6 linked regions of the Ovis aries genome follow. The protein of the gene in region 6 interacts with the protein of the main gene of each other region in a pairwise test. Links are inferred from orthologs where the notes say so. Each region holds a gene or a part of one and is shown on either strand. Other genes may lie near its edges.

Region 1 (3,957 bases), on a different chromosome or scaffold from region 6:
GACACAAGTGCAACCGGGCAAACCTCTGGCCTATGAAGAAGGTCTCTTCCTCCTCCTGATCTGGCCTTCCTGCCACAGCCCTCCCGAGCTTTCTCTCGGTTTGCTCCCTACAAGCAGGCTCCCAGCTAACGTTCTCTCTCCATGGCCAGACACACTCACCAGGCTCCACAGAGGTCTCCGGAAGGGATCCTGAGGGCTGGCTCACTGAAGTCCTGAGGACAAGGACAGTGGCAAGCAGTCACTGAGCACCACATATGAGCTGGGCACCATGCAAAGTGCTTTACAAACATCTAATTCTCACAACAACTTCAAATGATGATACAAACATTGTCCTCATTTGACAGACTAAAGAAACTAAAGCTTGGCAGGTACGGCAAGCTTGAACAACTTGTAAGTGCTGAGAGTCAGGAATCAAACCCAAACCCCATTTGTTCCCACAATCTAAGCTCGAGCCACTACACAAGGGATGGTACCTCTCATTTCTTTCCCCTTCCATCCCTCACAACCTGAAGAAACTGATGCCATATTGAGGCTGAACTTTACTGCAAGGGTTCACCCTGGGCATTCACAGATTTTCCCCTCTCCCCGCCCCCAGGCTGGTGGGAAGTCCTAAAGCTACCAGAGGGCCCAGCCCTGAGGGACCCCTGTACAGACACTGAAGCACTCTTTTCCAAATGACCCCCTCCTTACTTGCTGCTGCCACTGGTCTCTCTTCTTAGTTCCTGGAAACAGGGAGGAGCGGAGGGGTGAGAGGATGATCCTGAAGGTGGAATCTGAGCCACACAGGAGCAAGAGAAAAAGGAGAGTCAGAAGCAGGCTCCAAACCTTCAGGTTTCACCACCAACCCCATCAGCCTCCATACAACCCCTCTGCTTACCAGGCGGTACCCTCCATCCCAAGGCCCAGCTGTGTCCTTAGAAGGAGTCCCCAGGAGCACCTAGTATCAGCCCCTCAAGAACACTCACCAGAGCCTGCAACCTCTGGGGACACAAGGTCCGACCTCTAGGCCCTGGTCCCTCCAGCCTTGAGAAGCAGGAAGCCCTGACAGGGTCCAGTCGATGGGTAGGGGTTCTGGGGGCCAAATATGCAGAGGCCCGGGCATCCTGGGACCCCAAAAAAGACTCTCAGTACAGACTCAGGATTCCCTCCTCAGCCTACCCCAGCCTGATCTCCTCCTATCCCGGCTCATTACCTGACCCCTCCGGATGGTGCCTCCCTGGCTCCCTCGAACAAGTACTCTCTGAGCCAGACTGGGCTGGCGCCCCAGGCGACAGCTCTTCACCCCCTCACCTGACAGGATGGTGGCCAGGGCTGCAGGGTCAGCCACAAACTCTACGGTCCCTGGAGCCTCTGCAAGGGAAGAAGAAAAGGAAAGGCGAGGAGGGACAGGAAGGAGGGGAGGCTGAGGGGTTGGGGAGCCTAGCATTGTCACCTTGAGGTGCATGAGCCAAAGAGACTCATATAACTGAACTCAGCTCAACAAACATTCACAGGACTTTAATCTGCATAAGACACTATTCTAGACACTGCCACCCAGAGATGAATACGACAAAGCCCCCATCCTCAGGAAGCTAACATCAAACTAGAGCAAGGTAACAGATTCAAGTCAAAGTATGGACATATTATAAAAGAAGTGCAGGGAATTCCCGGGCGGTACACTGATTAGGACTTGGTGCTTTCACTGCCTTGGCCCAGGTTCAATCCTTGGTCCAGAAACCAAGATCCCATAAATTGCATCTAATAAATGAATGCATTAATTAATGGATAAATGAATGAATAAACAAACAAGTAAATAAAGTTCAGCAAATCATTAGAACAAAGAGCAATTGATAGTGACTAGAGGAGCCAGAAAAGGCTTTAGAAGTGATGACACATTGCTGAAGAAAAGAAAGGGCCTCTAACAGCAAAGAGCTTTCTAGGAGCAGGGACTAGGAATTATAGTAAGCAGGAGAGGCAGGATTACAAAGCCCCCAAACCCCACTGCACCAACCCATTCTCCCACCCAGTTCTACAGCCTCCAATAGATACCTGTCTGGGGAGGTGGCCTAGGGCCCACATTTTGATCCCCATGGCTAGGCCTGAGCTCCTCCAAGGGGTTCCGGAGCTGAGTGCTCCCCAGCAATTTCTCAGATTGCTCTGTCTGACGTGTGGCTTTCAGCCTGGGGCCTGCTGAGTCTGCGAGGGGGCGCTGAATATTGAGCTTCTGCCCCAATCTCTAGGATAGGGGAGAAAAAAGCTGAGCTCAGCGTTGAGGTGCATTGCTGCTTCCTTGTAGCTACTGTCTTCACTCCCCCAGGCTCCTCTTACCTTTGGATCTTGGTTCTCCTGGTCCAGGGCGCTGGGTTTGACTGTGGGGAGAGGTGGGCGTCTCTGAGAGCGAATGGGAATCTTGCTAGGAGTGGGAGATACACCCCGGAGGAGAGGATCCTTCGTGGCTTGGAGGGTGGTCATGACGACTACTCCTGAAAAGGAGAAAAAAGGATCAGGGATCAAAGGTCAGCCAGTTCGAGGTTTCGGTCCTGACATTCCAGATACTCCTACCTCCGCCCAAATCCACGCGCCAGAAGACCCGCCGCCTACAAGGGCGCTTCTCGGTCATCTCCTGACACTATGAGCCTACACTTTCGTCCCGGGACCCCGAACTGCCTCTCTTCCCTACGAGCCCCGGCAGCCCTCATTCCCTCCAAGATCTCCGTGCCGCACCTCCCCCTGAACCCCTCAGGGTCTCGCCCACTTTCTTCGCTTTTTCCCGGGACTCTCTCGGCCTCTGCTCCAGGTACTTCCCCAGTTTGTAAAATACGCCAAGCTCCTGATTGGCTCGTCTGCGCTCCCGCGGAGGCGCGTGACGCAGGATTCAGCTATCCAATCTACAGGCTTCGGAGGCGGGGCCAAAAGAAGGACTAGTTGCCGAGCCGCTTTCTGGCCAGGAAAAAAAAATGACCCGACTCAACCAGCCAATCGGAAAGCCGAGCGCGGGGTGGAAGAGGAAAGAGGAGACAGTTCTGAGGTCCAGGAAGGCGTCTGCTCTGAGTCTGGGCAACAACGGGCGCTGGCGAACTCTCGCGAGGTCTCGGGACTGGTGCGGGAAGGTCCAGTCGGCCTTGTGGAAGGGCTTGCGTCCTGAGTGAGGCAAGCTGACGGTGTTGGAGGCTGGCCCCAGCCCCTGACTCAGCTCTGATCAGAGTTAGGCCGTCAAGTTTTGGGGACCCTGTCCAGACGCTTTGTGGGAAAAGTCTGCCTGGGTCGAGGAGCTGCCTCCAAACGGGCGGAGAGGTCTGGAGAAAATTGAACTAACAATAACAAAAATGAAAGGTTACAGTGAAAAAGAGAAAAAAGTTTTCCTTTTTCTCTTGTCCTTTTCTGAGTTCTTTTTTTTTTTACTCTAACTTCCGGATCTGTAGTCGGTAATCAAGGCTAACTTGATATGTAAGCTACATTCTATATGTATCTCCTTTAAACTCTAAATGAGCTACATTGTGTACCTGTAGCTTCTGTTAGTTACATTCTAACTCAATGCTAATCACATCCTGTGTTTAGTGCTCACCTTTACAGCAGTCTTTGCAGAGCCCCCCTTGTAGTTCTCTCTCTCTCTCCTTTTTTCTTATACTACAGAAAGGAGGCCACAGTACAATTCATGAAAGACAATGGACCCAACTGCTGGGCTACCTTACACCGTGGAGAAGGAAATGGCAACCTACTGCAATATTCCTGCCTGGATAATTCCATGGACAGAGGAGGCTCGTGGGCTACAGTCCTTTGGGTCACTAAGAGTCGCATAGGACTTAGTGACTAAACAACAACAGCCTGACTCCAGTCTGTTACTGTTTTTGAAACAATGCAAGAGGAAAAAAAAGACAAGATCCTTACACATTTGTTCCACATTGTTGTAGCCACGTGTTCCAGGAAACAAACTCACTCAGAAGGACAATGCAGATAGTGGAGTGCCGTTAATTACAC
Region 2 (3,500 bases), on a different chromosome or scaffold from region 6:
AGCATAGTTCATGTTACTTAACTTTGAAGGATTTCAAGAGCTTTTAATTTCTTCTAAGTGAAGTAGAGACTAGATCACCATCTAATTTTTCTCACTTTCATTTCTATCCACTGTTTAAGTCAAGTATGTAGCTACAGCAAATAATTATTTGATTTAAAAATCCTTTTTGCTTTCTGAATGGAGGATGTCAAGGATCAGTATTAGGAAAAACCCTATAAAAATGATAATTAAAGTAATTGCTATCTTGGATTCATACCTTTACCCTGCAGGATGTGAAGAATGGAAGACTTACTTTCAGAGAATGGGAAAGGGCAAGAATTTATGGACATGAGGGTACTTTGTACAGAAATCCAGCAGGCTGTACTTTGTAGCCTGTGATGGCTGCAATTACCCGATGAGAAACTAATCCTCCTGAGGTTAAGAAACGCGCAGAGACATGCAGGCAGTGATCTCTTTCTGTAGATTACCCTTCTTAACTCTTAACAATGTGTTGTTCTTTTCCCCCCTTCACAAGTGGGGAAATTGAGACTCAGATCAGCTGAGATTCAATGCCTTGTTCAAGGTCACAGAGCTGTTTAGCAGGAGGCTGAGACTTCCCCATACAAGCCTGGGTTCATAATCCTTGGCCGTCTGCCTCTTCATCAAGTGGCCTGTGTTTGGGTGGCAATTTCATCATAAATTCAATATTTAAAACGTTCTCTTTTCAAGTGAATTTGAGCATATTGGGGTCTGGAGAGATGGAGTTGTTTACTTTTAACTGCCTGTTCGTTCAGCCTCAGAAAGAAGTCCCTTACATATTGCACAGGACAAGTGATTATGCTGGAGGAATAGCAAACACTGTTTTGATCTTACAAAATTTACTATCTGTGTACCTTTGGGGAACAAAAACAAATTGTGGGCTGGTAAAATTTAGTGCTTATTTACAAGCTTTATTTCCTTTGGTTCCCCAAATTTACACACATAGAGAGGGCATCACGGTCAGATTTTAAGGACCACTGGCAGCAGGAAAGGTAAGCACCGTGAATCAGGGACCCCCCAGTAACTGCCACCCCGGTGAAGTCTGTTGGCAGGAAAAACTGAATGGCCGATTGGGTTTAATGGACAGTGTGAGGTTCTTGATGAAGAGTACTCTGTTCACTCTCTGATTTGAAAAACACAACTAAGCTAAAACTCATTTAAATGTAAACATTACAGGAACCATTGAAAAAATCCTAGTTTTTTAGTAGGTGGCTATTAGGAACATACGTTCCATATCATAATGTGTCATTGTTTATTAAACATCTGTCCAGCATGGCTACTTGTTCATTACCGCTTTTTAATCTACCCTCTTCCATGCTTTTTTCCATTTGAACATTTAGAGCCTCTGCACCCCCATTCTTTAGTAGGACATTGTTACTTTCGACAAAAGCATTGTGTTGGTACTTTCTGATATGCTGTGTGCTGTGGTTGTCTCCACCGCCCTGGGATGGGTGTGCTTGACACACTCGAGACGAAGGGCAGATAGCTGGTTATCGCCAGAGTAGGTCCAGAACCAGGTCTGCAGCTCTGTGCCGCTGCTTGTATGAGTGCGAAGTTGAGACCATTGCATGTATCCCAGTCAACTCACCCGGCACTTCCAAATGCTTATCCTTCCTGGCCTTCAAGGAGTCCATTAATCTCTGTACTACAGTGAAAGAAATTAATTTTTTCTTTTCTATCCAAAAGTCATGAGACTTTTATTTAGTATCTGAAGCCAATAAGCAATGTAATTGTATTACTGAATATGAATCTTAAAAGCAATACATTTCTCTTTTTAAAATTGTTTACTCTTGTGATAGGTGAGCATTTGTTGATATCTGTTATTTGTTGAGATCAAATGCTAGATCAAAATATTTCTATTTAGTTCAGTGCTTACCTCCCTCTACTTTGTATGTTACAAAGCAATGTAGAAGATGCCCTCATATGAGGATGGGTGAGCCATCTGCTTGAGTGAACTCATGGTAAATGGGTGTTTGGACCACCCTGTAGAAAACATATAGCATGTGCTTGTCTGTGTAGGCAGTGCTGATGTATACCTAGGATGGAGCCTACCCCCTGAGAGTAGAAACGGGCAAGGGAGTAGAGTGGGTACTTGCTCCCACTCTTGAGAGAGTATTGAGTTTATTTTTTAATCAATCTACTTATTATTGAAGTATAGTTGATTTACAGTGTTGTGAGTTTTTTGTTTCTGAATGAAGTATTTTTTACAACTATATTATTTTTTGATTGGATACAGAGGTCTTGAGTTTAGCATATACAAAGTATCTTTGATTCTAGGTTTAAACTAAGCAAGATTAGTCCTTGTTAAATTGAATTGCTTACCTTCAACAGCTAAAGTTTGGAGAATGCAGCATTCTTGTGGCTTCTTGGGGATGGGTGAAATCTTGGATGCTATTCCATCATTCCTCTGTCCCCAGGCATAACAGCACCCCGCTTGGAGAGCTCATTTCCTTCAAATACCCAGCAGATTCCACACACAGCTTTAGCAGATTGTGCCATGGTCTTTTGAGTGATCAGAAGAACTGACTTTGTGAGCCTTTGCTTCTCTCTTGCAGGTCTAACTTCAAGCTCGTGGCTGTTAATTTCAAACTCTACGCCATTGGTGGGCAGGCCGTTTCTAATGTTGAGTGTTACAACCCTGAGCAGGATGCCTGGAATTTCGTGGCACCCTTACCAAACCCTCTGGCTGAGTTCTCTGCGTGTGAGTGTAAGGGGAAAATTTATGTCATTGGAGGATACACTACCAGAGGTAAGTGAAGGCCTGGAAAGTGGTCCTCCTCCATGCGAGCTTTGGCAGCCTGGGGGAGGACGGGAGGGACTGGAGGAAGCCCTCTAGTGCACACCAGCCTGATGTTATGTATTGCTTACTGTATATTTACATATCTGGAAAAAAGAGCATCCTTTGGGACATCAAAGAGGGGTCTTTGATGCCTTTGTATGAACATGAAAATTGCATGGTGTGGGGGGAGCTGTGAAGAAAACATGTATTTTCTTCTTCCTGCTCTGGAAATCCCACCCTGTAGTCAGCCATCTGTGACTTGGCTGGATAACTCCTACCTTTCTCTTAAATGTACACTGAACCCGCCTTGTCTAACACTGGAATTTAGCGCCAATGCATCCTTGCAGGTCTTTCTTTTCACTTTCTCCCTTGTGTTTGGGCACAAACATATGGGATACAGATTTCAGAAATTCAGCTCCAGGCTGTTCAGGTATCATAGGAGGAACAAAAGCACGAAGAGTGTTCTTTCTTGACCAGCAGTGGGAGGTGGTTGTGCTGCTTATTAAACCATAGGTATGTGTTTTCTGGACTTTCCTGGTGGCTCGGATGGTAAAGAATCTGCCTGCAATGGGGGAGACGTGGGTTCGATCCCTGGCTCGGGAAGATACTCTGGAGAAGGGAATGGCAAGACACTCCAGTACTCTTGCCTGGAGAATTCCATGGACAGAGGAACCTGGCTGGCTACAGTCCATGGGGCTGTAAA
Region 3 (3,500 bases), on a different chromosome or scaffold from region 6:
CCCTGCAGCTCTGCTGTGACTACCCTCATTTTACAGAAGTTGGAAACAGGCACAATGAGGTTGATTGCTGTGCCTAAGACACACAGCCAATAGATCTGCACTCAGGTCTTTGCCCCCAGCCCCGGGCCCTTTTCTGCCACATCCTACTGTCTTCCCCAGCTAGAGATGCCTCTAGCATTCTCTGCGTGTGACAGTTCCAGCTCTCATTCTAAAAACTCTGAGGACATCCCCAACAAAGCAGGGTGGGGTAGGGACAGGCATAGATTTCTCAAGATAAAATCCATTTTCATTCATTTTAATTAAAAAGTAAACAAACAGAACCCTGTGGTCCTGCCAAGGATGAGGACATTTGTAGAGTCTGCGTCATCAACTTAGACAAACAAGGGGTTGTTGAAACTTTTGAACCCACAGGGCTCAGTGGTCTGAGGAGCTGAGGGACAAACAAGCCTAGGTGGGGCCCTTTGCTGAAGCTCCTCTCCATGTACCCCACAGACCCTGCTTGGTATCAGACCTGGCCGGGCCCTGGGAGCCGGCCCCCTGGGAACCAGAAGACCCCTGCCTCCCAGCATTCCCAGAAGTGGTCAGCCACATGGACCAAGGACAGCAAACGGCGCGACAAGCGCTGGGTCAAGTATGAGGGCATCGGGCCTGTGGATGAGAGCGGCATGCCAATTGCGCCCCGATCTGTGAGTCCAGGACTGGGGCTGCTGATAGGTGGGGCCCAGGGGTCCACCCTGAGTTCCACCTCTGACACAAAGGCTGTTCCCATAACTAAAGCAGGGGTTCAACCATTATGGGTCCAGGGGATATGAGCCCCATAAAATTATGAGCACTCTGGCATGTCTGAATTGTACAAGTGATTTTTTTTTGGCGGAGGGGAGCAGTACTAGACTACCCCATAGGTTCTCGATGGTAGAGAGCCACTACTGTAAGGGCTGACCCTGGCAGGGACTGCCCTGCTCCTCCATTCATGGCCCTGGGCCTGGCACGGCACTGGTGAAATTGTTGCTGAGTAAGTGACTGACTGAATGGGTGAATGAAAGAGTCCTGAGTGAGGCCTGATGGAGCAGCAAGCTTGGAGGATCTGAAGGATTTATGCTGGGAGGACCTGCCCTTCCATCACTCCCAGGCCTACCCTGAGCCAGCTGTCTGCCTCTAGTTCCTTATCGGAAACTCAGATGGGTAACATAGCCCTCTGCTTCCCAAGGTTCTTTGGCGTCACAGGTGAGGTAGAGGATGTGAAATACCTTCCTACCCTACCCCCCACCAATACTGTTTATTTTTCATTACATAGAAACACATGTTCTTTGTAGAATCATCAGAAATACATAGAAAGAAAAAAACATATATAAGCCACCCCAGATCTCACAATTAAAGGGTCATCACTGGTGGAGATTCTTCCATATATCTGGGTATTTTTTTTTTTATATAATTGAAAAAATACTTTTTTGGCCATGCCACACGCATGTGGGATCTTAGTTCCCGGACCAGGGATTGAACCCATGCTCCCTGCATTGGGAGCACTGAGTCCTAACCACTGGACCACCAGAGATGTCCCCCTTCTGTATATCTTACTCAAACATAACAGACGACACGGAGGTATTGTTACTAAAGATGTCACAACAGCCCACCCAGGGAGGCTTCAAGGGTGGCCAGAGAAAAGACCCAACGAGGAAAAATGTCTGTGGTTTGATGTTGGGAGGGTGGCCTGACTTTGCCTTCTTTGATCCCAGAGTGTTGACAGCCCCAGGGACTGGTATCGAAGAATGTTCAAGCAGATCCACCGGAAAATGCCGGGTGAGACCCTCTTCTGGGGCCCTCTCTCTGCCTTAGTGGGCTTGGGCCTCTGGGGCATGGGGAGCGAGAGGTAGACAAGGGGACTTACCTGTCTGAGAAGTGTCTCCACTCACCCTAGGCTCTGTGGTGAGTTGTTGCTAAAACAGGCCAAAGGAGGGAACTGCCAATCTCCTCCCTGTATGGGGAACACTGACCAGACACTATCCCCAGTGAGGGTCTGGGAAGCCGTGCAGTCACACATTGGTCCAGTCAGTCCCTTAACCATGTGTTTAGCACTTGCTGTTTGCTGACTACTATTCTAGGTGCTAAAGACAAAACAGAGAACAAAAAAAGGTTGTTCCTGCCTTAGTGAAGCTTGAGACAGAAGGCATCACAGAATAAACACATAGACATTTAATATGGCAGATGGTGGTAAGGGCTAGGGAGAAAAGGTCAGGAGAGTGCCCAGGGCAGGAAGGCTGCCACTTCACGTGGGCTGGTCAGGAAAGGCCCCTGAGAAATGGCATCTGAGCTGAGAGCTAAGGTTGTGAAGGAGTTGTCCCTGCAGGGCTGGGGGAGGAGTGTTGCTGCATGGGAAGCATGGGGAACCCAGAGGCAGAGCAGGCCAGATTTGTTTTGGGGCCACAGAGAGGGGCTGGACTGCAGTGAGAGGGGCACGTGATGGAGATGGAACACAAAGATGCTGGGGTCAGGTCACCCAGGGCCCTGGGCTTTCACTCTACAAGAACTGAGGAGCCCCCGGGAGGCTCTGAGCTGAAGAGTGAGTGACAGGCTCTGACAGGTGGTGGCTGAAGTGACTCCCTCTGGCTGCCAGGTGGGGAAGAGATGGGGCCGAGTGGAGGCAAGGGACCAGTCAGGAGGTCTGGCCAGAATCCAGGCTAAAGACGACAGTGTCTCAGATCAGGGCAGTAGCAGCGGGCCTGGTGGAATTCTGGAGACAGAATCATGGTAATCTGATGATGGATTGGATGTGGCATGAAAGAGACCAGTCAGGGATGAGTTTAAACCTGAGTGAATCTATGAAGTTGCCCTTTATAAGTGTATATACACACAGGAAAGGCAGGGAGGGGTTGTGTGTGTGTGCAAGTCTAAGGGGCGTTCCATTTTAGATACGGTTCAAACAAGTGGCAGTTGATGTTTTTGAGTCATGTCTGACTCTTTAGCGATCCCATGGACCATAGCCCACCAGGCTTGTCTGTCCATGGGATTTTCCCAGATAAGAATGCTGGAGTGGGTTGCCATTTCCTTCTCCAGCGGCTCTTCCCCACCCAGTGATCAAACCTGCATGTTTGGCATTGAAGGCAGATTCTTTACCACTGAGCCACTGGGCAGCTGATAAACAGGTCTGTATTTCCTAGGGTGAGGCTTAAGCTGCAGATGGAAATACCAATGACCCACTCAAAGAGACTTTTGGTGTAAAGGTCCCCCAAGTAGCTCCGATGTACAACTAAGGTTAGGAGTCCCTGGAATAGGCAATATTTTTTAAGCTAGAAGACTGGACCAGATCACCGAGGGAGATGGAGAGACAGAGGCCCAGGGACTGAGCCTGAAGCACTTGCTTGGAGAGATGGGCAGGAATCAACTAGGCTGCCTGGGAAGGGGCAGCTTGGGAGGCAGGAGGAAAACCAGAGTAGTCTCCCTGAAGCCAAGTGACAAGAAATTTCTAAAGGAGGACATGAACCTCTGTGACAGGCTGCTGCTGA
Region 4 (3,500 bases), on a different chromosome or scaffold from region 6:
CTGGGTCAAGGTTGGCCCAGGGTAAGTTGGGGTGAGGGGAGGCACCACCCCAGGCCAGGTGCAAAGGATGCTGGATGCCACCACACCTCCCTCCTGTTTCTCCTGGATGGAAGGAGCTTGCATCCAGGCCCTGCAGCTCCCGAGCGGCCCTCCCCGATGAGGCCCCCACAACTGCAGTGGAAACTGAGGTTCAGGTAGGGGAGGGATCTATAATTTGCCCAGCACCCCCAACTCCCCATTGTCTGACTCCAGCCCCCTCCATGAGCTGAGAGGCTGTGAGGGAGGGGGTTTGAGGGCCATGGGGGCTGACAGGGTGCAGCACCCTGACCAGACAAAGTGCTCTGTGGACCCTGGGCTTCTATCCCTCTGGGCTCTGGCACAAGCTATTCTGCCTCTAGGCTTGCAGGTCTCCCCTCAGGTCTCTGCTAATGTGTCACTTCCTCCAGGAAGCCTTCCCTGCTAACATGTCACCTCCTCCAGGAAGGTGGTTCCACAGACCCTGAACTTGGCTTGTTCATGGCTGTGCGTGACTGCTCGTTCATAGGTCTGCTCTCCCATCAGAAGGCGCGCTCCCTGAGGGCCGTGCCTAGGCCAGCAGCATGGGGGTGGGCACAGAGCGGGTCTGGATGCATGGTATTCAGTGAGAGAATGACGCAGGAAGGAGAAAAAGAGTGAGGGGAGCGGGGGAGAAGTGAGATGTGATACAGCACATCTGTTCCCACCAGGGATCTGCGTGGAGATTAACATCCCTGCAAACGCATTAATATGTCAACGAAAGTATAAAAGCAGGTGATAACAGCTCAAGTAATGCTGCTTCCCAGAGACGCCCGTATTCCTAGGAGCCAAATTTCAGAAGAGCAGGTACCGAGCAATCATTCAATCCCCAGTGCCTGGTGGGAAAGACGCAGCGTCTATGACCGTCTGCAAGTATGGCTGGGAGCAGAGTGGGGGCTCGAGCATGGCCCAGCCCCGCTCAGGGACAGACTGGGCTCGGGGGAGGAGCGATGCAGGCCCACCAACACGGTCTGTGGATGAGGGTCCAGACAGCCGGGGAGTGAGGACCTTGAGGGAGGAGGGGTGAGTGAAGCTGAGCACGCTGGCCCAGGGATCCCATTTAGAGACTGTGCTACCGCAGGCAGGTGACAAAACCTCTCTGAGCCTCGCTATTTAAGGATAGTATGGACTCAGTGAGTGAGGCAGATGCTCAGCACGGCTGTGACCTGCAGTGGGTGCCCCATCGGTGGGGCTGTGATGGTCCCCGTGTCCAGGCTCAGGTGGACCCAGTCCTGGGCTCAAGGCGGGGGTGTGAACGGGCAGTCTGGGGGCTGCTGTGGGACTTGGCAGGTTGCTTAAAATCTCTGAGATCCCTGACCTCGCCCATTATATGGGAAGGAAGATGTCTCTCAAGGGGTGAGGGGCTCAGGAAGGTCCCCTGGGGATGATGCCACCGGAGGGCCACTGGAAGCAGAGACCTGGGCCACAGGCACGGGTCTGTCCCCATGTTGCTGGGGATCCTCAGGTAACTCTTCCAGCCTCTCTGGGCTTAGTTTTCCCTTCTATAAAATGAGGCAGAAGACACTTTCCCAGAGTCTGAGACCTGGGGTCTGACCTACAGGGGGTTATACCCCATCCCTTCTGCGAGGCAAAAGTGGCATGAGCCCATGGGTGGGCTGGGGTGGTGAGGGACCACAGATGGGTCTTTTCTGCCTGTGGCTGACCCTCTCCCAGCAAGTGTGGATGGGACCATAACTGAGGCCTCTGGGCATCAGCAAGGGGGGTGGGGGGCGAGTGTCCTTGAGTGGCTGCCTCTGCCTGAGGCCAGAACACTGGGGGATCTGGGCTGAGGTAGGGGGGCACCTGACCTGGGCAGTCCCCCGAGACCCAGCTCTCCCGCCAGGCACCCTCACCTTGATCATCTGTGATAGGTCACCCGCATCCGCCAGCTCCAGCACAATGTTCAGCTCATTGTCCTCAATGAATGAGTCCAAATACTTGATGATGTTTGGATGGTTCAATTGCTGCCCAAAGAGAGAAAAAGAGGGAGATGGAGTCAGTGAGAGATGATACAGTTGGAGAGGCGAGTATCTGGGGGGAATGGCCTGCAGACCTGGGTGACACTGGGAAAGCCATTTTGCATCCCTGAGCCTCAGTGTCCCCCTCTGTAAAATGGGCATAATCTTTTGCAGAGAAACTGTGAAGATTACACGGGCTGATACCCCTGAAATATCTACATGGTGACCACTTGCAGCTAAGACTCAACAGACACTGTGGAAATGACCCTTTTCTCCCTCCTCCTCTTCATCATCAGCACCACCCAGGCCCCTCCAGGGTAGGGCCAGGCCCCCACCACTCCACCTCTGTACTCAGTGGTCCTGGAATACTTGGAAGTGTCCATCTCCTTCCTTCTTCCTTCCCACTTTCTCAATTTCTGACCCACCCTTTGTGAAATCTTGAGAAAACATCATTCCTGGTGTGAGAGCTGCCCTGAGCATGGTGCTCAGTGATGAAGCCCTGATTCTGGCCTGATCACCGTGGCCCGTGTGATCGTCAGATAGGACTGCGCCCCACTGGCCGGAAGTCAGACCCTGCTCGGCTGACAGGAGACCCTGGCATTCCTTACGACTTAAACTATACCGAAATGACCCCAGGATCTAGGGAAGGCAGAGGGACTCAAATATTCTGCCACAGCATGGTCAGCCTGTCCAGCGGGGGTCCCACCCAGAGGCCACTTGAAAGCACATTTTTCCAAAGGCCCAGAAGGTGCTATGTGAAGGGCACGTATTTATGCTGCGCCACTGTTCCGCCCCTCCTGGCAGCCTCTCACTGGTCCTGGCATGAACAGCATGAATGATGCCGCCCAGTGGCCCCTCTAAGGACCGTGCTTCTTTCTGTTTTGTAGGAAACACCCCGTGCCCTGGCACATCCTGTTGACTTCCCACAGGCAGGCTGGCGAGGTGGGTCACGTTCTGCAAAGGGTCTGGCCTGGTGGCAGAGGTTATAACCATGGCAATGGGGGCTGCTTCTGACCAGATGCTACACTGAGTCCTTTCAATGCATCTTCTCACTAATCCCACGACAACACCTCTGAAGACAGCACTCTCGTCATCAACCCCTTAGACAGATGAGAAAACCAAGGCCCCAGGTGGTCAGCAGCTTACCCACGGCCCCAGAGCTAGTGAGCAAGGGGTGTATCTGCCTGCGAAGCCCACAGCTGACTACGCTCAGTGGCACTGCAGCCTGGGGGCGGGTCAGAGCCCCCGCACCAGGCAGGCCTGGGTCATGCCACCTGGGGCGGCCTCACCAAAGAGGCTGTGATCACTCAGTTCTGAGCCCAAGAACCAAACAGGCTGGCTCAGTGTGCACACGTGTACAATCCCTTACTCACGTGAGCAACACACGTGTGTTCTTGGCCACGAGTAGGGAGACAGGGGTGTGTGATCCAGACAGCCACTCCCCAGGGCTGGGGAATCAGAGTTTCAGGGATCACAACTGGGTCCAAA
Region 5 (4,162 bases), on a different chromosome or scaffold from region 6:
AGTCTGAGCAGGCCCAGCCTGTCCTGTCCAGATTGCCGCCTTCTCAGTAGAGTATGCTAATTCCCAGATACATGTTTCTGGATGTGTGATCAACATCTCTCCACCAGGTCAAGGCCCAGTTTTCCTCTCATATCCTGCTGCAAACTCTCCTCCCTGAAGGACACAACATCACATATGTTTTCGCTTTACCAGACTGTGAGCATCTCTTCTATATTTCTCACCAGCCCTTACCACAGGCCCTACTTCCACAGGTACTCAAATCAAGGTGTCACAACTTCTGCAGGAGCTGTCTACCTTACCTTTGCAGGTCCCTCCCTCATCTTCTTGATCTGATCCTTATACTTCACTAGTTCAGCATCCAGCCGAGAAATCTTCTTGTCAATGGATTCTGCTCTGCTGTCCACCTTCAGCGGAAAAACATTATAGGCAGTGGAAGTTATTGCAATACAAAAGTGGTAGGAGAGGAATGAATAGAGGAAGAAAGGAAAAACAAAGAGCATATGGTGAAGGTTGAAAACAGCAATTCCTAACTGTGGGGAGGCGGGATTCTCCGAAATCCTGGGGGGTGGGGTTTAAACTGTATTCCACCCCCCTAGATTCTCATATTCCAGGGGCATCTTCAAGTGTTTGAGCAGAAAAAGAATTTGAGAATCACTCGACTGAGTCGAAATTTCCCAAGAATTGGTGACTAGGCCAGCAGAGGGCTCAATAAGAAAGTGTATGAAACGAGTTACTGCCCAATGGACCTCGGCTAGGGCTGTAGAGCTAACGCCATTCACTTGGATAGAAGGTGGTGGCCTAATGATAGGGGCTAGAGTTCTGAATTTTGTGTAACAGATCCAGGATTGGGTTACAGATATACTGAGCTAGGATATCAAGCCGAGATTCCTGACGTCGGAGAAGGATGAGGGACGGAAGAGGAGGGAGGAGTAGGGCTGGATGAGGTGGTAAGGGTGTCTAGGCCGAGTGGACGCGGCACTGAGCACCAGAGGGGGTGGGGCGCAAGTAGGGTTAAACAATGATGGGTTAGGGGTCCCTGGTTTGTGGCGTCAGAAATGACTTGGGTAACAGGAACGAAAGTGGGATGGAGAGAGCTAAGCTGTAATGGGCCCGGGAGCCAGGAGTCGACGCCGAAGTCGGGGGTGGACGGGTTAAGGGGTGTCAGGGTTCCTGAGCCTAGTTAGCAAGTCTAAGTGCCCACCGTGCCAATGCAGTCAGTCAAGCTGGGCGGCGGAGCCTTGGGTTTCGCTTTCCCGAAGAATCGGTTCATCTTGGGCGGCCGCTAAGAAAACCTAAACACTGGAGCAAAACCAGAAACGGAAGCAGAGTCACCTCCCTCTCCGACTTGACTTCCGGCCCCCCATGCGCAAGCGCAATGTGCCTATTGGCGTTTCCCGATCCTTTTTCCGGATTTTCAGCCTGATCTTCCGGGGAAGGGGAGCTCCGGGAAGTTGGAGGTGAGGGACAGAGAGTCGGCAGGGGGCGTGGCTCCGGTGGCGGGCGTGGGCGTGGCCCCAGATAAGCCAGGCGGGGCCTCGGCTGAGTGGGTGGGGTAGGGGGCGGCTTCAGAGGAATAGAGCCCGGCTGCAGCGGGGCTGCTCCGAGGGGCGGAGCCGGTACGCCCGGGAGGGGCGGGGAAGTAGCCGAACTGGGGTGGAGGGCCCCACGCTAGCTACCATCGCTGGGCGGGCGACCATCGCGGGTCTGGCGGAGCGCGGGGGCGCGCGAAGACCGCGAGGCGACCGGGAGCGGCTGGGTCCCCGGCGGCGCGCGCCTCGGCCGGGCCGGGAGCCGCGCCAGTCGGTGCCCCCAGCCGAGCGAGGTCCGCCTCCCTCCCAGAAATCAGCCGTCCGGAGCGTGACCAGGGGGCATGCCGGATCCACCAGAGGCGCCGCCGCCTGCGCTCGCAGGCCGCGGGTGAAAAAGAAAGCACGGCCTCGCTCGGCCCGGAGCGAAGAGGTGGCCCGGAGCGAAGAGGTGGCCCCGAGCGAAGAGGTGGTCCTGAGCGAAGAGGTGGCCCGGAGCGAAGAGGTGGCCCTGAGCGAAGAGGTGGCCCGGAGCGAAGAGGTGGCCCTGAGCGAAGAGGTGGCCCGGAGCGAAGAGGTGGCCGGGAGCGAGGAAATGGCGGCAGCCGGGCTCAGCGTGACCGTCACCCACAGTGAGCGTGGGCTGCCGGGTGGGCTCCGTGCTGGGCCGCGAAAGTCCGGCGTGGTCTCTGGGTTTGGTCGCGTGCCCTCCCGAAGTGTGTGTCCTTGTCTTTGGAGTCCAGAAGAGTGGGATCTTGTGGGACCGGCTTTTTTTTTTTTTACTGGTCTGTCAACACACCTTTCCACGTGGCAGGTGTATTTTGTCTCAGGCCATTTGTTAGATCCTTGATGCTTCACGTCGTGGTCCTAGTTGTATGTCTTAGGGTGTGCCTGCACAGTTGTTGTGGGCCTTTGTGCCTGGCTTGTATTTAGCCATGTTGTCTATGTCTGTGTATCTGGACATCTACTTGTGTGCAGGAGTCAAAACTCATGTGTGCTGTTTAAGTGAGGCGTGGGTTCCAGCGTACTCTCTGGGCACCCTTGGGGTCTGTTTACTGTTGGAGTTGACACAGAACTAGGCAAAGACGGTTCTCCAGGGAGCTGAGTACATAAGGTTTCCTCAGAACCAACTAGGGGAGACCCCAGGGCCTCAAGAACCTGGAGACCAGGATTCTGCACATTTGGGTGACCTTGGGATGTCTCCTTTCTAGGCATCTGGTTTCTTCTATGCAAAATAGAGTTGGTAACACCTGTCCCGCTGACTTCATGGCTGTTAAGAAGGCTTAAGGCTTGGCGTGAGGCACTGGACACAGGCTACGCCCTTGCTGTCCACATATCCAGAAAAGAATTGGCACCTCTGCTCCAAAAAGAAATTTCTGCTGTTTGAGTTTTTCCACTCATTTGTTTATTTATTGGCCACACTAGGTCTTCGTTGCTTTGCTCGGGCTTTTTCTAGTTGCAGCGTGCAGGGGCTACTCTTCCTTGAGATGTGCGGGCTTCTCACTGGGGTGGCTCTAGGCATGCGGGCATCAGTAGTTGTGGCACACAGGCTTAGTTGCTCCATGGCATGTGGAATCATCCAGGACTGGGGACTGGACCTGTGTCCCCTGCCTTGGCAGGCAGATTCTTATCCATAGCACCACCGGGGAAGTCCCCCTCATTTATTTTCTGGGCACCAACCGTATGTGTCCAGGTGTGCCCAGTGGGAGAGACCTGGAAGAAAAGCAGTTCCTTGCGCATTATAGCAAAGGAGATAGAAACAGTTCCTCACCCAGTACAACACAGAGGAGAGGACAGTCAGGTCAGAGGAGGCAAATGGCTTTAAAGAAAAGCACAGAATTTGAAATCAGATAGATCTGAGGTTAAGTTCTGATTGTAGAGATGGGTCCCACTAGGCAAGTCTTAACTGGACTGATCTCACATTTTCCTTATTTGTGAAATGAGGAATAATAGGTAATACCAGCTTCATGGGTACTTCATGGGGTTGTTCTGAGGATTAATTAAGGTTATGCATAAAATAAGCATGCTGCTGCTGCTACTGCTAAATCCTTTCAGTCATGTCTGACTCTGTGCGACCCCATAGACAGCAGCCCACCAGGCTCCTCTGTCCCTGAGATTCTCCAGGTAAGAATACTGGAGTGGGTTGCCATTCCCTTCTCCAGTGCATGCATGCACGCTAAGTTGCTTCAGTTGTGTCTGAATCTGTGCGACCCTATAGGCAACAGCCCACTAGGTTCGTCCGTCCACAGGATTCTCTAGGCAAGAATACTGGAGTGGGTTGCCATTTCCTTCTCCAAAATAAGTCTAGTCAGCCCCTTACACATGTTAAATGCTTAAAATGTTAGCTGATATCACTGATATTATTAGTTCCTGTAACAATTCCCAAGGAGACAAAAATCCTTGAGCAGGTCTTAAAGGCTGGGAAAATGAAGTGTCAGCCTCTGTTTATTGGTTTGTGTTTTCTTCAACACTTTTCTCTCTTCCCAGGCAATGAGAAACACGATCTTCAAGTTACCCCACAAGAAGGCAATAGTGAGCCAATTGTCCAAGACCTGGCCCAGGTTGTTGAAGAGGCTACAGGGGTTCCGCTGCCTTTTCAGAAACTCATATTTAAGGGTAAGCCTTTCTCTTCCAGC
Region 6 (4,280 bases):
TAATCCAATCAAATAATCAAACTTACTCAGAACTGTATGCTGTATATAGAAAATGAAACTTGATGCGAATTTTCCCATACACAATACTCTGAAGTAAACTGCAGTGAGTTTTAACAAACCTAAATTATATGTTGTAGTACTACGCATTTCTAAATGCTTGGCACAATACTAGACTAATTTCACTAAAGCTGAAGCCTGGTAAAGTTGTCACTGCCGAATGAAGAGACAAGAGACAGGGGGAAAAACCACTTTAGATACCCGCTATTAATCATCTCGGTTCACACAGGTCTCTCCCCGGGTAGGGTGGGAACTTCAGCATCTGCGGCTAAAATCTGTTTGGTGGCTTCAGCAACATATAACAGGGTAAGTAATTTACCAGGTATCTATTTCATTCTAAGATGAGTAGGAAATGGCAACCCACTCCAGTATTCTTGCCTGGAAAATCCCATGGATAAAGAGCCTGGCGGGCTATAGTCTATGGAGTTGCAAAGAGTCGGACATGACTGGTTGACTGAGCACTCATATTTCATCCCGTCGCAGGGGTCTCAAACCTAAAAAGTGAAGAATAGCTTCCTCTCGCTCCACGGCAAGAAACTGAACAGGAGGGCGAGCACTGACTGTTTAAGAAGGACGAGATCTACATCCCAGGGGTCAGGTCTACGTGCCAAAAGCTGCAAGAATTAGTGAGAAAAGGGGAAAAAACAGCGTAGAGGAAGCCGGGTTCGCAAAAATTTACCTTTCAGGGCCAGCAGGTGCTCCTGTTTGGGGGGATTCACCTCCATTTTGACCGGCACTTTGAACCCACTGCCTACGGAGGCTGAAGAGGTTCACTTAGCTCGGAAGAAAACAGAAAGCCTAAGTTCCGGAAGACCGCATCACATTCCCAATCGTTTCTTCTCTGCTGGTGGTGCCTTAAATTCTCTTACCACGTCCTTTAGCGACTCAACGGCTTCCTTTTACCAAAGCCATCTCTTGCCTCTTAGAGATATACATAAAATACTTCTCTATTTTCCAGCCACAATCACAAACCGCGACTTCAAGAAATCACTCCTCGGAGACAATACGCGGCCCTGCAAATACCTACATCTCCCAGTAACTGCTGTAAGATGTGGCATGCTGGGATTTGTAGTTCAAAAGCCGCAAAGCCTGCAGGGAGATGAAGTCCCCTTTCATCCAGTGCGTTTTACAACTGGGGAGAAAAGGTCTTTACTGGAACAAGAATTTCACCCCAAAACCTTACTTCTGTCTTAACCCTTATCTTTTGCTTTAATTTTACTCCTCTCATCAAATTGGTAGAAGTCTGACGGAGACTGAAAATCTCCAGACTCTTCAATAAAAATAACAAAGCTCCCATTCGCAAGCCTCTGCTGGCGTCAAAAGGTGCGAGGAAGCCTCCTCGGCGGGGCCCGGCGTCGTAGTGCGCCTGTGCGCCAGCGGCAAGCGCCGAGGCTTCTGGGTAGGTGGCTTTACCCCGCCCCTCATGTGAAGGCCTTCTCGGCTGCTTCAGTGGCGAGGCTCCTTCTGGGATGGCTGCTCTGGTTGTAAACAAGCCTGGAGCGGGACTAGACAGTGGTCGTCAGGGCAGCCGGGGGACGGCCGTGGTGAAGGTGAGGGACCTTGCGTGCTCTGTTCTCCGCCATCGGCCTCCCTTCGGTTCATCCCGGAGATCTGGCTTTTTTTTGGGCGGGTTGCGCGGACTCGGGTCCCTCTCCGCTTTACAAGCCTATGCTTCCCCTCCGGACCTTTATCCCTGCAGGCTTGAGGTTACCGGGTCTCCTGGTCATTCTAGTCTTTTGTAGTCGCCAACGGGGACTTTTGTGAAAAGGATCCTATGGGCCTGTGAGAGTGACCTGGGCTGATCTTTCCTCAGGCCTTCTGTTTTTAGCTAAGCCCAACAGACATTAATAAGCTTATTTTTATGAAATTGATCCATTATTATTGACAGATACTATCTTAGATATTTTACCTCGTTAATATCTATTTATGAAGTAATTGTTGATTCTAGTTTTACAAGTGAGGAAACTCAGGTTTCGGTTAACACTGTAGCTGAGCCAGAATTGACTGCTCTAAAGTATTCTTTTCGTTAAAGCACTACTTCTTTTTAATCAGACCTCTGTTATTGGTTGACCTGCCCTCTCCTCTTTTGGTAGTACGGGTGTTCAACAGCCCCGTTAATGCTCGGGAATATCAATTACCCTATGTTTGAAGTTTGAAATTCTGCCATGTTTAAATGCTCTAAAATGGGTTTACCAAAAATTCAGTTGAAATAACCGTAGAATCCACTTTTCCGTATATAGATAGATCTGGAAGGGAGAACTGATCTTAATAACCTTTAGAATCCCCTGTAATCTCAGATAGTGCTAATTCGTATTCCTGGCTACATATTACTGAGGACTTGAAAAAAAAAATACAGACACACACAAAAACGATTTAATCCCCTAGTTCAGCTTAAGTTGTTATCAGTATATTTTTTTGCATTCCCAGAATACTTTTAATGTGCAACTAGGGTTCAAAACCATTGAAGGAGATATCTGAAATTCTTTTAAGATCTTGAGTAATAGGCACCTGTGATTTTTCATCTAACGTTGGTTTCATATGACAACGAATGATACATTTTTGCCTTCAACTATATTATCAATCGGTATTGGTGGTTGTTGATTCGTCTTTTAAATATTAATAAAGTTATTTTGAAGATACATAGCATATCTGAGATATGAAGCTGCCCTCATTATTTGGCTTGTATGATTGAGATTTTATTTATTGAATTGTGCTTTTTCTAAGTAGAGAATACCTGAAGATTGTTTTGTGAAATAACCTGAATTAAGAAGTAATAGGAATGTATATTACTACTGTCTCTGCTTTTGTTATCTTGTTTGTCTTAAAATCTGAAAAATATACCAAAACCTGATGTAACTCCAGTTTATTAAAGCACAGAGATTGGTAAATTAGAGGCTCATTTTGTTAATTTTCATTTTTATCTGTAAAACGTGACTGAGATGTGCAGTAGGATAGTCCTTTTTGGCAAGAGCCTCATGCGGTAATTTGTAAGATAAATTACAAATCAAATTAAAAAAAATCCTCATGGCCATTGTTACAGATGGAAGTAAGAAGTGTTCATTGGAAGGTAAAAGTTGAAGTATATAATGCTAATGTTTGTATCTATAAAATGACTTCCTGCTTTATGAACGAGTTGCTAGAGTTTTCTTGTTAGGAAAAACAGACAGAAATTGGATATGAAATTATTTATCTCCACAAAAGAATAGTGAACTGCCTTCAGTTCAGTTCAGTTTAATTGCTCAGTTGTGTCTGACTCTTTGTGACCCCATGAATCGCAGCACGCCAGGGCTCCCTGTCTATCACCAAATCCCGGAGTTTACCCAAACTCATGTCCATCAAGTCGGTGACGCCATCCAACCAGCTCATCCTCTGTCATCCCCTTCTGTCCCGTCCTGCCCCCAATCCCTCCCAGCATCTGGGTCTTTTCCAATCAGTCAACTCTTTGCATGAGTGGCCAAAGTATTGGAGTTTCAGCTTTGGCATTAGTCCTTCCAATGAACACCCAGGACTGATCTCCTTTAGGATGGACTGGTTGGATCTCCCTGCAGTCCAAGGGACTCGCAAGAGTCTTCTCCAACACCACAGTTCAAAAGCATCAATTCTTCAGTGCTCAGCTTTCTTCACAGTCCAACTCTCATATCCATACATGACCACTGGAAAAACCATAGCCTGGACTAGACGGACCTTTGTTGGCAAAGTAATGTCTCTGCTTTTGAATATGCTATCTAGATTGGTCATAACTTTCCTTCCAAGGAGTAAGTGTCTTTTAATTTCATGGCTGCAATCACCATCTGCAGTGATTTTGGAGCCCCCAAAAATAAAGTCTGACACTGTTTCCACTGTTTCCCCATCTATTTCTGATGAAGTGATGGGACCAGATGCCATGATCTTCATTTTCTGAATGTTGAGCTTTAAGCCAACATTTTCACTTTCAGTTTCATCAAGAGGCTTTTTAGTTCCTCTTCACTTTCTGCCATAAGGGTGGTATCATCTGCATATTTGAGGTTATTGATATTTCTCCCGGCAATCTTGGTTCCAGCTTGTGTTTCTTCCAGCCCAGCGTTTCTCATGATGTACTCTGCATATAAGTTAAATATCAGGGTGACAATGTACAGCCTTGATGTGCTCCTTTTCCTATTTGGAACCAGTCTGTTTTTCCATGTCCAGTTCTAACTGTTGCTTCCTGACCTTAATCCTTTGAAAATATGGCCTCCTTTATTAAA

What was found.
Region 1: the proteins of TRIM23 (region 6) and TROAP interact in binary tests that used the Homo sapiens proteins (3 or more experiments, as listed by UniProt). The two-hybrid records come from large-scale screens. The link is inferred for Ovis aries from reciprocal best matches to the Homo sapiens genes TRIM23 and TROAP.
Region 2: the proteins of TRIM23 (region 6) and KLHL42 interact in binary tests that used the Homo sapiens proteins (3 or more experiments, as listed by UniProt). The two-hybrid records come from large-scale screens. The link is inferred for Ovis aries from reciprocal best matches to the Homo sapiens genes TRIM23 and KLHL42.
Region 3: the proteins of TRIM23 (region 6) and SORBS3 interact in binary tests that used the Homo sapiens proteins (3 or more experiments, as listed by UniProt). The two-hybrid records come from large-scale screens. The link is inferred for Ovis aries from reciprocal best matches to the Homo sapiens genes TRIM23 and SORBS3.
Region 4: the proteins of TRIM23 (region 6) and NEK6 interact in binary tests that used the Homo sapiens proteins (3 or more experiments, as listed by UniProt). The link is inferred for Ovis aries from reciprocal best matches to the Homo sapiens genes TRIM23 and NEK6.
Region 5: the proteins of TRIM23 (region 6) and BAG1 interact in binary tests that used the Homo sapiens proteins (3 or more experiments, as listed by UniProt). The two-hybrid records come from large-scale screens. The link is inferred for Ovis aries from reciprocal best matches to the Homo sapiens genes TRIM23 and BAG1.

The regions. Positions count from the first base shown.
Region 1 is NC_056056.1:136,912,021-136,915,977, forward strand, and holds the start of TROAP (tastin), read right to left. Parts: upstream 2,801-3,957; 5' UTR 2,600-2,800; coding exon 2,542-2,599; intron 2,463-2,541; coding exon 2,308-2,462; intron 2,216-2,307; coding exon 2,029-2,215; intron 1,351-2,028; coding exon 1,193-1,350; intron 1,104-1,192; coding exon 966-1,103; intron 774-965; coding exon 691-773; intron 213-690; coding exon 160-212; intron 1-159. UniProt on the Homo sapiens protein: Could be involved with bystin and trophinin in a cell adhesion molecule complex that mediates an initial attachment of the blastocyst to uterine epithelial cells at the time of the embryo implantation.
Region 2 is NC_056056.1:187,628,290-187,631,789, reverse strand, and holds part of KLHL42 (kelch-like protein 42), read left to right. Parts: intron 1-2,573; coding exon 2,574-2,767; intron 2,768-3,500. UniProt on the Homo sapiens protein: Substrate-specific adapter of a BCR (BTB-CUL3-RBX1) E3 ubiquitin-protein ligase complex required for mitotic progression and cytokinesis. The BCR(KLHL42) E3 ubiquitin ligase complex mediates the ubiquitination and subsequent degradation of KATNA1.
Region 3 is NC_056055.1:43,085,711-43,089,210, reverse strand, and holds part of SORBS3 (vinexin), read left to right. Parts: intron 1-492; coding exon 493-686; intron 687-1,733; coding exon 1,734-1,797; intron 1,798-3,500. UniProt on the Homo sapiens protein: Vinexin alpha isoform promotes up-regulation of actin stress fiber formation. Vinexin beta isoform plays a role in cell spreading and enhances the activation of JNK/SAPK in response to EGF stimulation by using its third SH3 domain.
Region 4 is NC_056056.1:11,506,180-11,509,679, forward strand, and holds part of NEK6 (serine/threonine-protein kinase Nek6), read right to left. Parts: intron 2,019-3,500; coding exon 1,908-2,018; intron 1-1,907. UniProt on the Homo sapiens protein: Protein kinase which plays an important role in mitotic cell cycle progression. Required for chromosome segregation at metaphase-anaphase transition, robust mitotic spindle formation and cytokinesis.
Region 5 is NC_056055.1:37,884,422-37,888,583, forward strand, and holds the start of BAG1 (BAG family molecular chaperone regulator 1), read left to right. Parts: upstream 1-1,362; coding exon 1,363-1,417; intron 1,418-1,468; coding exon 1,469-2,158; intron 2,159-4,013; coding exon 4,014-4,142; intron 4,143-4,162. Other genes in the region: CHMP5 (charged multivesicular body protein 5), read right to left, coding at 300-404, 1,202-1,270. UniProt on the Homo sapiens protein: Co-chaperone for HSP70 and HSC70 chaperone proteins. Acts as a nucleotide-exchange factor (NEF) promoting the release of ADP from the HSP70 and HSC70 proteins thereby triggering client/substrate protein release.
Region 6 is NC_056069.1:14,049,208-14,053,487, forward strand, and holds the start of TRIM23 (E3 ubiquitin-protein ligase TRIM23), read left to right. Parts: upstream 1-1,480; 5' UTR 1,481-1,526; coding exon 1,527-1,607; intron 1,608-4,280. Other genes in the region: TRAPPC13 (trafficking protein particle complex subunit 13), read right to left, coding at 737-782.